Linked DNA regions of Pelodiscus sinensis. The protein of the gene in region 1 interacts with the protein of each later gene in a pairwise test. Links are inferred from orthologs where the notes say so. Each region holds a gene or a part of one and is shown in the gene's direction. Other genes may lie near its edges.

Region 1 (6,865 bases):
ACGCCAGTTCCGACTTACATACAGATTCAGCTTAAGAACAAACCTACAGTCCCTATCTTGTACGTAACCCGGGGACTGCCTGTATAGTGCCTACCTGCCATTATACAAAATGCACCTTCTATCCACAGTCTATCTACCACTTCCAAAATACAATTACCCACAATATATACATCTCAATCATCCAAACACAGATATAACCTTAACTCAAACTCAACTAGAGTAAAATCACATCCTGATCGAATAGTTTAAACAACTATAAATGTATGAAAATTTTAATGTATTATATGCAAAAATGAACACTGCCTGTGTAAACTAAATCTGGCTCCTTGACATCACTTTTTTAACAACAGTGGAACAAGCCTAAATAAGCAACAGTGTAAAGCTTAATATTTAATTGGTTTAAAATCTGTTTTAAATGTACAATTCTGTGAATTCTATACCATGGATCTAGTAGGGAATATTTCATAATTCCAATTGCATATTCTTTCACCAAACAAATACTAAACAGTGCTGCCAATAAAGATGCATTCGTCTCATATATACAGACAGACAATATATGTTTTTTCCTTTTGGTTCACATAAATATAGTATTCGTGACTAGAAAGAAATTTGGAAAATTCAGATCTGCATCCAGTCTGCAGCTCAGTTCACCTTTACTTGGATATGCCAGTATTTTGATTCTACATGCTTACATTTTGGCTGAAATCCTAAAGCTATCTCTGGCTCTGCTTTGACAGGCAACAGGGTATGTTTTTCAATTGTGTTAGCTGAATCCAATTAACACAATTGAAAAGCCCTGTTAAAATGCAGGCGAGCATGTCTGAAGTTGTCATGTTACATTAACGCAACTAAGCTAACATGACTGATAAAACACACCCTTAAAGACACATCATTTGTGTATTTGTAGTTTGCTGAATGGATGACTAGTTTAAATTGGAAGCCAGATGTATGGATAATATCTGAAACATCATTCATCCAGATACCTACAGTAGCTTCTTTATATTATGTTTTTATTAAAAAAAAACCTAAAATATATTTAGTATATAGCACAATAAATTTTAAGTATTTTTCTTAAAAAAAAAAAAAAAACACAACAACAACAACAACAAAAACCACACATTAGTAAAACTGCTTCTCTGTAAAAATACACATTTCTCTACTAGGTGACCTTAATGAGGAAAAATGCTCCTTCCCTTTCCTTGTCAATAACTGAAGGCTAAGTCAAGTTATCATTCTGAAATGTGGACTAATCATCATAATCTTGGGAGCAGAAGAGGGGAAAGATGTGTTTATTTCACATGTAAAATGGTATATTTGTGAAGAGCAGAGTCTGCCATTTTACTCTGGAAGAGATAATAGTGGTATGAATTCATCTTTGTATTTCTTAAATGGTACAGGCAGTCCCCGGGTTACGTACAAGATAGGGACTGTAGGTTTGTTCTTAAGTTGAATTTGTATGTAAGTCGGAACTGGTACATATTGTAGGGGAAACTCTAGCCAAATATTTCTCCAGAGCTCAGTTTTATTCTCCCACATCTCACTTCCCTCAGTCCTTTATTCTCAAGCTGAGGTGTCTGCTGAGAAAAGCTGCTCCGCGTCTCCCTGGTCTGCTGGGTGGCGGGGGGGGGGGGGCGGGGGGGGACGCTAGCTTCGCGTCTCCCTGGTCTGCTGGGGGGAAGCAGCTAGTGCAGGGTTGCCTCACCCCGTTTGTAAGTAGGGATCCGATGTAAGTCGGATCCATGTAACCTGGGGACTGCCTGTATTTTATAGTCTAAACTAATCCTCTTTGAGCAGGAAAGGAAGTTGTAGAAACAGCTTCACCATGGCATCAATATCAGTAGCAGCTTCAGTACTGATTTAAGCAGGTTGCAACACACAGGCCCATGAAGATGTAATACCCCTGCAAATCAATCAATTCAAAAGATACTTAAATCATTCAGTGTATTTTAAGCTGCTGGGCTTAATTCTGCCACACACAAAAAAATAAAATACAAAAACCCCATAAAAAGTCAAAAAAGATGGCAGAAGAGAAAACAAAAGGAGTGCTTAAAACAATACAAACCAATGTTATATTATTGATAATTGAATCTAAGCCTCCTCCTGCTCACCTCTCTATGAAGCAAGAGACTCCCACATACCAGCAGAAACAGAGCTGGATCCAGAAAAATTGAAGTATGGGAGAATTATGGAAGGCAAAGAGGTAAGGGGAGTTGATTTAAACTCTTTTTTTTTTTAAATGTGAACTCTGATCAAAGCATTCATCAAAACATCAGGGAGAAGTCAAGTTAAGCATTTTGTTTACTTTCATTCCACCCTTGCTATCACTTTTTGGAGGGAGGAACAAGAAGAGGAAGTTGATGTAACTGCCCCCAGTTTTCATAAAAGTGAAGAAAATGTCATACCTTGAGAGCATATACACAGGGATTAAAACAAAATACTCACACATAACTGCAGGACAGGGAGTAGCAGGTAGGTGTGGGGTGTAATGTTTTTCTCTCCTGCCCTGGCAAGACAGTGAGTGGAAAATAGACAAGCAGCAAGTGGGAGAGCTGAAGTACATGTGATGAAGTACTGTCATCCCACCTTCTCTTCTCCCCTATCTCAGTCAGTGAAATGAGTGTTTTCTTTTACCAAAAGGACAGTGAGTGGGATGCACAGGAGAAGAAGCAAAATGAGAAACAGAGAAGTGTGGTGATACCCATAAGAGTAAGGGGTGGAGTGGTGGGTGAGGGACTGAGGATTGCAGCTCCCCCAGGAGAAATCTGATGTTAATAGGAAAGATGAGAAGGGAGAAGCTACAAGTGGGTGTCAGGCACAGACAAGAAGAGGAAGGCAGGGTGGGTGGGAAGAAGGACCACGACTTATGCCAGCAGGATAACAAGTGGGAGGCAGGTTTTCAGTACCAGAAGAGCAGGCTGCTAGGAATGGGATGCTCCCAGCATAGGAGACTGGATGGTGAAAGTTCAGGCGGTGAAGCTGCTCCCGCACCCTAAAGGGAGGGAAAGATAACACGCAGGGGCGCAGGAACAATTTCTGTAGTGGAGGGGCTCAGACCCACTGAGGCAAACTGCAAGCCCTGGATATAATGGAAACCACTTCAAACCAGGGGGTGCTGCAGCATCCGCAGCAGCACTAGGAGAGACGGGGGCGGCCGCTGAGGGGTGGAGCGAGGTCAGAGTTGTGCCGGAGGACACGGGGTGGCGAGGCCTGGGCGGGCGCGGAGCGGATGGGTTCACCGAGAGCTGCTGGGGGTGGCCCCTGCGGGACACAGATGATGGGAGGGGGTAGCGCCCCAAACCCGCCAGCGCGTGAGAGGACTGCCCCCCCCCAAAAGAAGAGGCCGGAACGGCCGGTGGCTCCCTACCTTCCGCACGACCGCGACGGCTCCTTCTCTTGGAAACGGCGCGCAGCCGCCCGCGTTTCTCTCACCGGACACCGTCCGCTGCCCGGGAAAGGGGGAGGTGGCGGCCGAGCTAACCCGAGCCCCACACTCCCAACGCCCGGCCCGCCCACTGATTCCACCCCGCTACCTCCATTGGCTGAGCCTTACCCACACAAAGGGCCCGCCCCCAGCTCTGCCACAGCCAAGGCATCTCATAGGCCGCCCCTTCCCCGCCGCCCCTGTCGCTCACCCACTGGGAGTGGCGGAAACAGGGACAAGGGGTGTGGCTACTCCCGATTGGCGAAAATTCACCCTACCACTTTCGATTCCTATTGGTTGAAGAGGCCTACAATCCTCTCGATTCGAGTACCTGATTGGTCTTCCTCGACACAGCCACGGTAGGGTGCGCGCAAACCTGTTCTAGTGTGCGTGTGATGGGGAAGGGTGGAAGTTAGCGCTGTGGCTAGGATCCTCATTGGTCGGCTGGAACGTGGGCGCCGTGCCCTCGCGACGCTAACGCAGCGACGGAACGCAACGCCTTGGTCCGATTCCCAAAATGGCGCCGCGCAGGGAGCGAAGGTGTTGTCGTTAGTGGCCTCGCAGTGCTGCGGGGGGTTCGCGCGCTTGATTTGTGAGTGTCTCTCGGTGGGAGTGTGACCGCGTACAGAGTGGGATGGGGCGGAGGTGACATGGGGCTCTGGGGTAGGTATGCGCGAGGAGCGGGATGCCGTGGTACGGGACTTCTGGGTGCTGAGCGAGGGTCGGGACGCTGAGGAGAAGGGGTTGCGATCGTGCCGGGGGGTGCTGTGGCCAGGCGGCTGAAGAGGGAGGTGTAAATTGAGATCCCGGTCCTGAGGCAGCGGGAGATTTGAGGCGGGGGGTGGGCGTAGCCGTGGGGCTGATTCGGAGTGGTTGAGAGCCGAGTGTCCTTGAGGGCCCTGGCGCTGGGGAGGGTCCGTGTGAGAATAGGGTGCCAAACATGGCTATCGGGCCACTCGACCTTCGCGCGTTGTTTCTCCAGTCTTCAGTCTGGGCAGTAGCCCGCCCCTTCTCCCCCATCCCCCGGAAGATTGGTGTCATAAAAACGTAAAATTTGTCCTTCGGTTCAACTCTGCTAACTGCGTTACACGTAGGAAAAGGCTAGTCGAGACCGTACGTTGGATTAAATCAGTATTTGCTGTATGTGGGGCAGGTGGTAGTGTGATCTTTCCTAAGAAAAGTTTCACTGTAAACTAGCTTGTTTGTGAAAGTGCTGTATTGGGGAGGTAAGGAATGAGCTCGTGGTGCCTGCTAGTCGTTGTTGTTTTTGTGATGTAAGAAGAGACTTTTAAAAATAAAGCTGTTAGTTTAATGTTCTTAAAGTATTCCAATTACCGACTTTTGTCTGTTTTGGTTTTGATGAGAAACCTCTTGAAACAAAGGAGGGAATTCCATACAAAAAAAATGCTGTACTCAATATTTTAAAATTCTGCAGGTTTTGTCTATAAATGTGGAGTCTCCAACACGGTAGTGGAAAACATAGCCCAGTAGCTGTACAGAGGCTGGAGATCACCCTACTGCTCCCTTTTCCCACAACACTGTGGTGAAGCTGCACCCAACCTTGACAAAACACAAAGTCCAACTCTGCCCCCAAAACACCCTGGGGTCCTGGCCCTCTGCATCAGGTGCACCAGCTATGCAAGGGCAGATGCAGAACAGTGGGATCCAAGTGTGCAGAGGCTTGATGTGGAGAGGTTCAGGTGTGGGAAAAGAGGATTTTGGGTGTAGGCAGCTTAGTTGAGGGGGGAGTCCAGGTATGCAGAAGATCTGTATGCACAGTGGGGTCCAGTTTAGGGCTGTAATAGTGTAGTCAATTAACCAATAAGCAAAAGTTTATAGGTTAATGCTATAGGCCCCTTGCATTCCCGCCACCCGGCCAGTAAATTTTTTAGCAGGCTGGCCAGCAACCTGGCTCAATCCTGGCTCACACTGGGTCTGGGACCTACCCCTCTTGCGGCTCTGCATTAAAAGTGTATCAGGAGCTGGGTGGGCAGGCATCCCGGCTCAGTTTTGGCTCATGCTGCGTCCAGGAGCTCAGTGATCCCCTGGACAGGGACTGTTGCCTCTGTATCAGAGGTAGCAGCGCAGGGTGAAAGGCAGCTGGGCCAGGAGGGGAGATGGTTTCTAAACTGGCTCACCTCATGGACCAGCTCCCACCTGGTGCTCCTGCACTGCTGCCTTGGTCCCAACTCTGGGGCTTCTATAGTCCCCGCACTGCTGCCCCGGCCCCACTTCCGGGGACTATAGACTAGTTGAGTAACTGATAAGAATTCATGAATTTAATAGACTGTTCAACTAACCGATATTTAACATCCCTAGTCCAGTTGCAGGGGCATAGGAACTTTGCAAGGGGATCCAGATGAAGATGATTGGGGCTAAGAAGCGGATTCTGGGTGTTGGAAATTTAGCAGAGGTGTCCAGATATTGGGAGAGTGTGGATTGGCACGGTGGGAGTCCAGGTGCAGCTGGTTGCAGACCTGGTCTGGGTGCAAGAGGCTTGTGGGGTGGTTCATATGCATAGGAAGTGGGGTTCATTGGACTGAGAGTTCAAGTGAAGGGGTTGCACGGGGTAGTCTGGATACAGGAATACCCACAGTCCAGATACCGGAGGCAGTGGGGCTTGGCACGGGAGTCTGACTACATAAGGTAGTACTCAGTGTGGGGGGACTCCAAATGTAGAAGCTAAGGCTTGGCAGAGGAGAGTCTGGGTATTGGAAGGGAAAGTGTCTTGATGCACAGGGTTGTCTGTATGGGGAAGAGGGGTCATGACTCTGACCCAGCACCAGCAAGTGACTGGACTGGGCTGGTTTTGAAAAGACACTGACATTTAGGAAAAAACAAACAGTCTGGAGATATGCTCACTTGATTCCCTGAGACTGAGAAGTAAGTCTTACGTTTGTAAGACCTTTATGCATGTAGGCCTGTTCTTGTTTTAACATTTTTCTCTGATTGCTGCATTCCTGCGGAGAGAGAAATAGGTTGCAATGAATACATATAGATGGCCAAACTCAGCTGGGTCTGCAGAGTAATCATAATTGGTGCCTGGAGACACTGTAAAAGAGAGGTGAATCAAGAACAATGAAGGCACAGTATCTGTAATTTGACAGAAAGTTCATGGAGGAGGGAGCTTCTGCTAACCCTCTAATTTACCTAGAAATTCACAGGAATCCATTGGAAACTGAAGCACTGATTTAATTTGCTTGTAGGAACATACCTTGCTTTCTCAGTGTGCTACCACATTCTGCACAATATCTTGTTTGTTGGTGGTTTTAAGACATGGTCCCATATGGAGTGCATTTTAGTAATCTTAACTTTGAGATGACAAAAATGTAAATGAGGCAAGATCCATATGTGAAAATGATTAGAAAGCAGCAACCACCAGATCAGTTATCTGATCTTCCTGTGGCATCTAGGAATCCAGTTGGACCCCTAGATTGCAAACCT
Region 2 (7,160 bases), on another chromosome or scaffold:
TTAGAACTATTCCTTCCTTAGCCTGGGGATTAGTGTGATTTATTTTTCTGAGGAATATTATGGGCCCAGAGGCAGCCGATGTGACACGGGCACTGAGCTTACATCCATGCTCAGATATTGCTTGTGAAAATCTTTGCTGTTGCACGCAGGTCCAGTGAGTTCTCTTTGTGCCTTCAGCGCTGGGCTTACAGTCCCTAAATGGATATGTTCTGCCTTGGATTCTAGTCTGCTTTCTGATTCTACGTGATTTTAAGGTGCCAGGCTGACAGCACCAGAAACTGAAGTTCTGTTTGGTGTCATGGATTGAGTGTGGCATGAGCAGCAAGAATTGCTGTTCTATTGAAGTCATTCCCCCAGGCTCCATCGTGCAAGGCATTGCAGGTGAACACGTTCAGGGCTGGTCTCTGCCCAAAGGATTTATCATCTTAGACAAGATAGGCCAAGAAAGGATTATGATCTCCTTTTGGCAGATGGGAGACTGAGGCACAGAGAGACTGAGTGACTTTCCCAAGGTCACCGAAGTAGTCTGTGGCAGAGGTGGGCTCGCCCTTATGTCACCCATGTTCTAGTTTGCTGCCTTAAACCCAGGCAGACTGGGTTTGCAGTGGGAGGTTTCTCAGTTACAGTGGTAAGGATGCTGAATCTTTCAAAAAGGTCCTGTCCCTCCCAAGTCTTGTTTGGGACGTAGAGTCATAATGGTGTTATGATGAGCGAGCAAAAACAGCCTGACTAAAAGTCTCTTCTTTCAGTGGCTCAGACGTCACACTCTTGTGATGTCATCCGTTCTCTAGGGTCGCCTCCAGCAAAACACAGACAGCCTTGGTCAACCTACATGCACCCAGACAGGAAAATCTCCCAGGACTTTCTCCAGCATGAAACAGGAGAATGGGGGGAAAAGGCAAAGTGAGGGCATGGAGACCATCATCTTCTGGCTGGTCCTCCATGCCCTTTTTCCAAGGTCACTGTGTCTTGCCACGCACAGGTGTGTTATTAGCATCCCCATCTTATTCCAGTCCTCCTATCTCCTATAGCCACGTTATTGTTCCTAAATCCCCTCAGTTACCACTGCAGTTTTCACCCAACATTACACTACTTATTGACATTGTAGTGACAGCCAGACACTGTTGGGGAAGGGGTGGGAATGGTACAGCAACTTATGTGAGAAGTTAATTAGTCACAGACAGATGATGTTGATACCTTAAGGAAGCCTGATTTATTTTCATGGGTGTCTATTTTCAGGAAGCTGAATATATTTGGCTAAATATAACACAGCAAGTAGTTATTGGCAAAGATGATCATGCTGCAAACGCAGAACCGAATGGAAACTGATTAGGCTGGTAAGCAGAAACCTAAAAGATCTGGACAACCAGTGGCCCAGCCTTATATTTTCAATATCAGGTTGCTTGGTGGTTGGCGTTTTTCATGCTGGGCATCAGATTAATCCTACAAGGAACTTGGTGCTGAGATCAGAGTAGTGAGGTGGGCAAAAGTGGCTTTATTAGGGTCCAATTCATTTCCTGCTGCATCAGCAGCCGCTGAGAGTAGCCCCCAAGGCTTCCCTGATTTGTGCCACCGAAGGCAGCTGGGAATACTTGAGTGAAGCCCCTCCACCCTCCAAAGAAATGCCTCTCTGCCAAGAACTTCGGTGGGGGACAGCAAAATGCCAGCTATGCTTGCTGGGGTTCCCAGGCTATGCTGGAGGAATTCTGCAGGTCAGGGAAAGTCAAGCATGACCCAGACTCTGGTGTCAGAAGGCTCAGAGTCAGGATTTGGACAGAATTTTGCAGCAGACTCCCTGGCCCTCTGAGTGACTGGAACTCTGAACTTTGGCACCAGTGGACTAGCGGTGGAGACTGAAGCTTCGCATCTGCCATGGGCATGGGACTGTTCCAGCCTCACGGGGAGCTCGCCATAGACAGGGGCTGCTCTGGCTGGGACAGCCAGGCTGGAGCAAACCCCCTGCCTGCCCTCCCTCCCCTTTGTTTAACCAGTTAAATGGGATGTTACCTCCCTGCAGTGGGCCAGATCCTCAGCTGGTGTAAATCAGCATCATTCCGCTGAATCTGTCCTATTGGCCTGGGGCAGACCAAAGCCAGCTGCTGTGTCTGCCACGGGCTGCATCAGGCTTCGGATCCATAAACTTTGGGGCACACAGGGGTGGGGAATCCATGGCTGGATTTTGCTGCTTGGAACGATCGTGATGCTGCTTGCAAGGCTGATTAGGGTCATCCTTGTGGGAAGGATGACTAGACCCAGGGTGTGTCTAGACTACTCCTCTCTGTAAACCTCTGTTTTTTGAAGAATACTGGATTTGTCGAAAAAGGCTTTATTTTCCACAGATCCACGTCTAGACTTCTGTTTTTTTTTAAAAAAACTCCATTTCGAAGAAAATAGCGGTGGCCATGTTTATGCTAATGAGGCGTGGGATATTTAAATCCCGGCTTCATTAGCAATTTCGACATGCTTGATTTGCATCCCTCTGTCGACAGAGGCATGCAGTCTAGACGTAGCCCCAGGGTTCAACTAATGTTGGGGGACAAATGATGACAAAACAGGATCAAGATGTGGGGGTCACAAGTTTAAAACAAGGCAACCAGACGGGGACACAGAGAAAAGAACCCCAGACAGCGCCCACTGCTCCTCAAAGCTGTCAATGGAGCCATTGGACGCTGCCCAGAGGAACTCCGCCCGGATACGTGACACTAGGGAGGAACGGAAATAGGCCCCACAGTCGCAGAGCACCCCCTCGTCTCGCATCCTCCTCCTGGTATAGTATACAATGGTTTTCGCCAGTGCCAGGAGGAGGTTGACGAGGAAGTCTCGTGACTGTGGGACCATGGATAGGGTGCGCATAAATGATGAGGTGTGGGGAAAAGTGCAGCTAGAACCTCAATAAGAAGTTCTGGAGGAGCCGGAACAGGGGCTGCAACCTGGCGCATTCCAGGTAGGCGTGCGCCAGGTTTTCCCTCACGCCGCAGAAAGGGCAGGTGTCCAGGATGGGGGTGAACTGCGCCAAGTACACGCCCGTGCTCACGGCTCTGTGAAGGAGCCGCCAACTGGTGTCCCCAATGGGCCAGCGTATGTTCCACCTTAATCCCGCGGCCCATTGGGGTTCTCCACCCTTAAACAGTACCGTCTCACTCGCCCCACTCGCCCTGCCCTATATCCGCCCCTGTCTCTTGTTGTCGGGGCGGAACACGAGGGTGAGGAAAGGTTGTGTGTGGAGCACAAGCATGTACAGATGTTCTCTTGGTGCGGTTTGGGAGCAAACCGGTTGCAGATCTTGCAGCCAGCTGGGGGTCTAGGGATGGGAAGGCCGGGGGGTGGGCCGGACTGCGGAACAATAGACGGAGGGTTTGCAGGAAGGGAGGGGCAGGGCGTGCCCTCACACAGGGACCACTGCAGGAAATCGAGAGCGGGCTGCGGCAAGGCCGCCTTCACCTCCTGGAGTAGGTGCAGGGCAGTTTGTGGGGTGGAGAGCCCCATGTGCTGAGCGAGTGCTCAGGGATCTACCCAGCCCCCCTGCAGTGGGGTGGAGTGGCTGCACACTGACCCGGAGGCGGAAGAACCCCTCCGGGAGGCCTAACCAGTGACACCCCCCTTAGCCCAGGGGAAGAGAGTTTTGGGTGCAGGTATCCCCCTAGTAAGAGCCCGAGTTAAGTTGGCAGTGAAGACAAACTGAGTGTGTTTGGATGGGTGGGAGAAGAAACTGGATGTGTTTTCCAAGTGAGCCATCCTGAAGCAGTGCGTTGCACCCCTAGCCTTGTAAGCCTGGAACAGCTGGTGAAAGAACATCCGAGCGGAAGCCAGGCAGGGCTCGCTACCCCCTGGGATTGGCAGTTGCCCGGCAGGGTTGTCAGCTTTGGGGTGGAGCCAGTGTCACACATGAAATACTCCAGCTTTATGGGAGGATTTCACTCACTCTCTCTCTCTCCTCCTCCCTTTGCAGCCCCAGCCTCAGGTTGCTGCGGGGAGGAATCTTTCCTTGCCCTTTCTGGGAGTGAAGTGCACCAGGCAGATCAGCCCAGCTACGGCGGGGGAGAGATCGGAGACGGGAGAGATTTGGGGGAAGCAGAAAGTGGCCTTGATTGGAAAGAAAGGAAGGAAGGAAAAGAGTGAGTCTCCCTTCTCCGGCAGTGTAAGTACTGGTTCTTCCTGGCTACATTTCACCAGCATTGCAATGTAAACAGAGCAAAGGTACGACCGAGTGGGGTTTGCTTTTAAAGGAGCCGTTCTCCTTTTGTATCCCTCTGGCTTCCCAGCACGGCTTCCCCGCTGGGGACTGCGGATCTCTTCATGGCACGGGTCCTTTGTGGGAGAGGGCATGACAGTAATTGGGGGTCAGGTGGACAGAGGTATGTGCCAGGCATTGAGGCAGATCAGCCGTATGCCAAATGAAGCATATTCTGGTCTCCTTGATAGAAGAGATTCCTGTTTGTGTTTTGGTGGGAGGCATTTTGTTGCGTCTCTTCTCCCCCCCTCCCATCCCCTGCAACTCTTTCTCCAATACCCTAAGGCGTTTGCTAGCAGGGCATGATATTGTCTTATCTTTGAAGAAAGCCTGCAGCCTGGGAGAGGAATGGAAAATCTGTTGCCTCCAGTATGAAACTTTGTGAGGCTGCTGTTAGATGGCACATGGTGGGACATCCGTTCACGTGCTCAGGCAGGGGTCACCCCCCCGGGCGGGCACCTTCCCCACAGTGCTGCACTTTTGGTGGCTGCCAGTGTCTGTTGCATCTCGCTGTCACTCTGTCACATTCTCAGGTACGTGGGGGAACTCCCCCCATACGTGGCTTCCTTCAGCTCTCCTGCCCAGCCACGGGTGGGGAGAAGTTACGGCGGTTCATGCCTGCAACCCAAATCCCCACCATGCCAGGACTAGAATTGGCACCAGCAACGCTGCAACAAGCTGGCTCTTCTGCGGATGAAGCCCAGCCAGAACAAGAGCTGCAGCGGGATTGGCACCGTGGGGGCATTCACTCTGAAAGGGACGAAACGTCAGCCTCCTGCCTCGGCTCTGGCATGGCTTGTTTGCACCCTGTGCCAGCGCAGCGAATGTGTGTGGAGGGGAGAGCGCGGTTGGCATGCTGCACAGGCAGCAGGCAAAGGGTTAACAGCAGTGGGCTTTGTTGAAGTTGAGGGGTGGTATATGTGGATGGAGCCCAGGTTGCTGCCGGCAACCCTGTGGGCATTTTCGGTGGCAACACAGTTTGGGCAGAGTGGAAAAACAAACCACAGGCTGAGTGTGCAATAGATTTCCCATGGGACCTGTGTCAACTCACTTATCCTCTGTGCCTCAGTTTTCCCATCAGTGAAAATGTGACCTTGCGTCTCTCTGGCTGATTTCCCCTTCCCTGACAGCATCTCGGTGAAGACCTGAATGTGGTCTGGCAGCACGGAGGAGTGTGTTCAGTGTTGTGTTTTTGGGGAAGGCCACTTTCGCTAACTAGCCACTTTTTGTTAGTCCCTGGAATGGATGCTTACAACAGGTTTCACTGGATGGTGTGCATAGTAATTGCGTCGTGTGATCAGACACAGTGAGTGACAATGCAGTAGCTGTGCACCCTGGCTTCTGAATTGGCTCTTTTAAATGTGGCTAATGTATGCCGGATGTATTTATTGTGGTGATAGGTAGACTCTCTCTGAGATGTGACCCCATTATGTCAGGCTCATATACACAGTGTGAGAGACTCCTTGCCTGAAGTTGTTTACTATCTAGGTAGACAAAAGAAGAATTGTTAGCTCTATTTTTCAGAAGGGGGAGCAGAGACAAGATGACTTGCCCAGGGTCACTCGGGGAGTCAGTGGCAGAGCTGAGAACCAAACCCCAGTACCCTGAATCCCAGGCCATCTTCCACTCTCTGTGTATCACGTGCAGAGCACCTGTGTGCACATGACACTGACTGGACTCCAATCACTCCCCAGACATGTTTGCATTCAAACTTTTGGGCTGTACCCACTTCTGAGTCCTTCAGTCCCTACTTAGTCCTTCTGGAGACCAGCGGATCATTCATTACAAACCCGGACACACTTTCCTGGCTTCATTCCGCACCTGCAACATGAGCCAGGTTGTCTAAGAAAATCTCTTGGGTTCACATAATCATTTGAACGCCCCTGGTGCTGTGCTGTATGCATCTTCACAGCCTCCCTTGCAGGAAGGTTACCATTTCACAGATAGGGAAATGGAAATATGGAGGCAAAGTGGAACTGGTAGAGCTAGAACCCTGGATGCCTGACTCCGGGCCCCGTTCTATCCTCCAGCCATGTGGAGGTTCTGAAATGCCTTCCGGGATGAGTTTTGCTCTGAGTTATTGATGCATCAGCTCCTCCTCCTTCCCCCACCCCAAAAGTCAGCCCAAACAGACATGGCCTGGATTTGCATCCAAGCTGCATTTCTAATGTTTAATAAGTGTCTAAATCTGGAGGTCACTTGGCTTTTTTCAGCAAGTGGCATCCAGGTGGGGGATTCATTGTGTGTCTTTATCCCTTCCTGGCTAACTCACAGCTGCTGTCTGGAAAAGAAACAGAAAACAAAACCCCACCTGTTGGTGGATGTAGAGGTAAAGGCCTAGATTGCAATCCTGCAGGCAGCTAGCTCTGCAGACTCTGTATTTGGACTCTTACCAAATACAGCATCCTGGTCACGCTTTTTCATTTCTAATCAAGGTTCCTTTTAAGGGCGCATTTTGCCTGCAGTCGAAGCTGCTCCTCTGCTACCCAGTTGTTTAGCCCCTCACGCCATTGGCCTGCCGCCGTTGCTGGAACAGAAGCTGGAGTGAAAATTACTTTCAGACTGCTGTGAAAAGCAACTGAGCTTTCCACTGTAGGGCAAATCCACACTGATGCCTCCTTACTGCTGTGGTCTCTTGCGCACGCTCTCTCCTTTTGTGCAATCCAGTCTTGTCAATTTTCTGGCCCCAGTTTGAGGCCAGGAGTCTGCTATCTTCTGCGTTTCCTAGCTTGTTTCAGCTCAGCCACCACAGCCAGGGGAAAATTATCTAAAAAACTCTGCACCTACGCAAAAGCTGGGTTTTCAAGGGTGCCCGGCACCCTGCCGCACCCAAGGATGCAGATATTTTCAAAAGAACACAGCACTCAGTGCATGAGATCTCCTGAAAACCTCTCCTATGGAGGTACCTGCAAGGCAGCAGAGCTCTCTT

What was found.
Region 2: the proteins of CCNK (region 1) and CDK18 interact in binary tests that used the Homo sapiens proteins (3 or more experiments, as listed by UniProt). The two-hybrid records come from large-scale screens. The link is inferred for Pelodiscus sinensis from reciprocal best matches to the Homo sapiens genes CCNK and CDK18.

Annotation. Positions count from the first base shown.
Region 1 is NC_134714.1:24,956,879-24,963,743, reverse strand, and holds the start of CCNK (cyclin-K), read left to right. Parts: upstream 1-3,844; 5' UTR 3,845-4,084; intron 4,085-6,865. UniProt on the Homo sapiens protein: Regulatory subunit of cyclin-dependent kinases that mediates activation of target kinases.
Region 2 is NC_134737.1:6,976,412-6,983,571, reverse strand, and holds the start of CDK18 (cyclin-dependent kinase 18), read left to right. Parts: upstream 1-4,150; 5' UTR 4,151-4,324; coding exon 4,325-4,355; intron 4,356-7,160. UniProt on the Homo sapiens protein: May play a role in signal transduction cascades in terminally differentiated cells.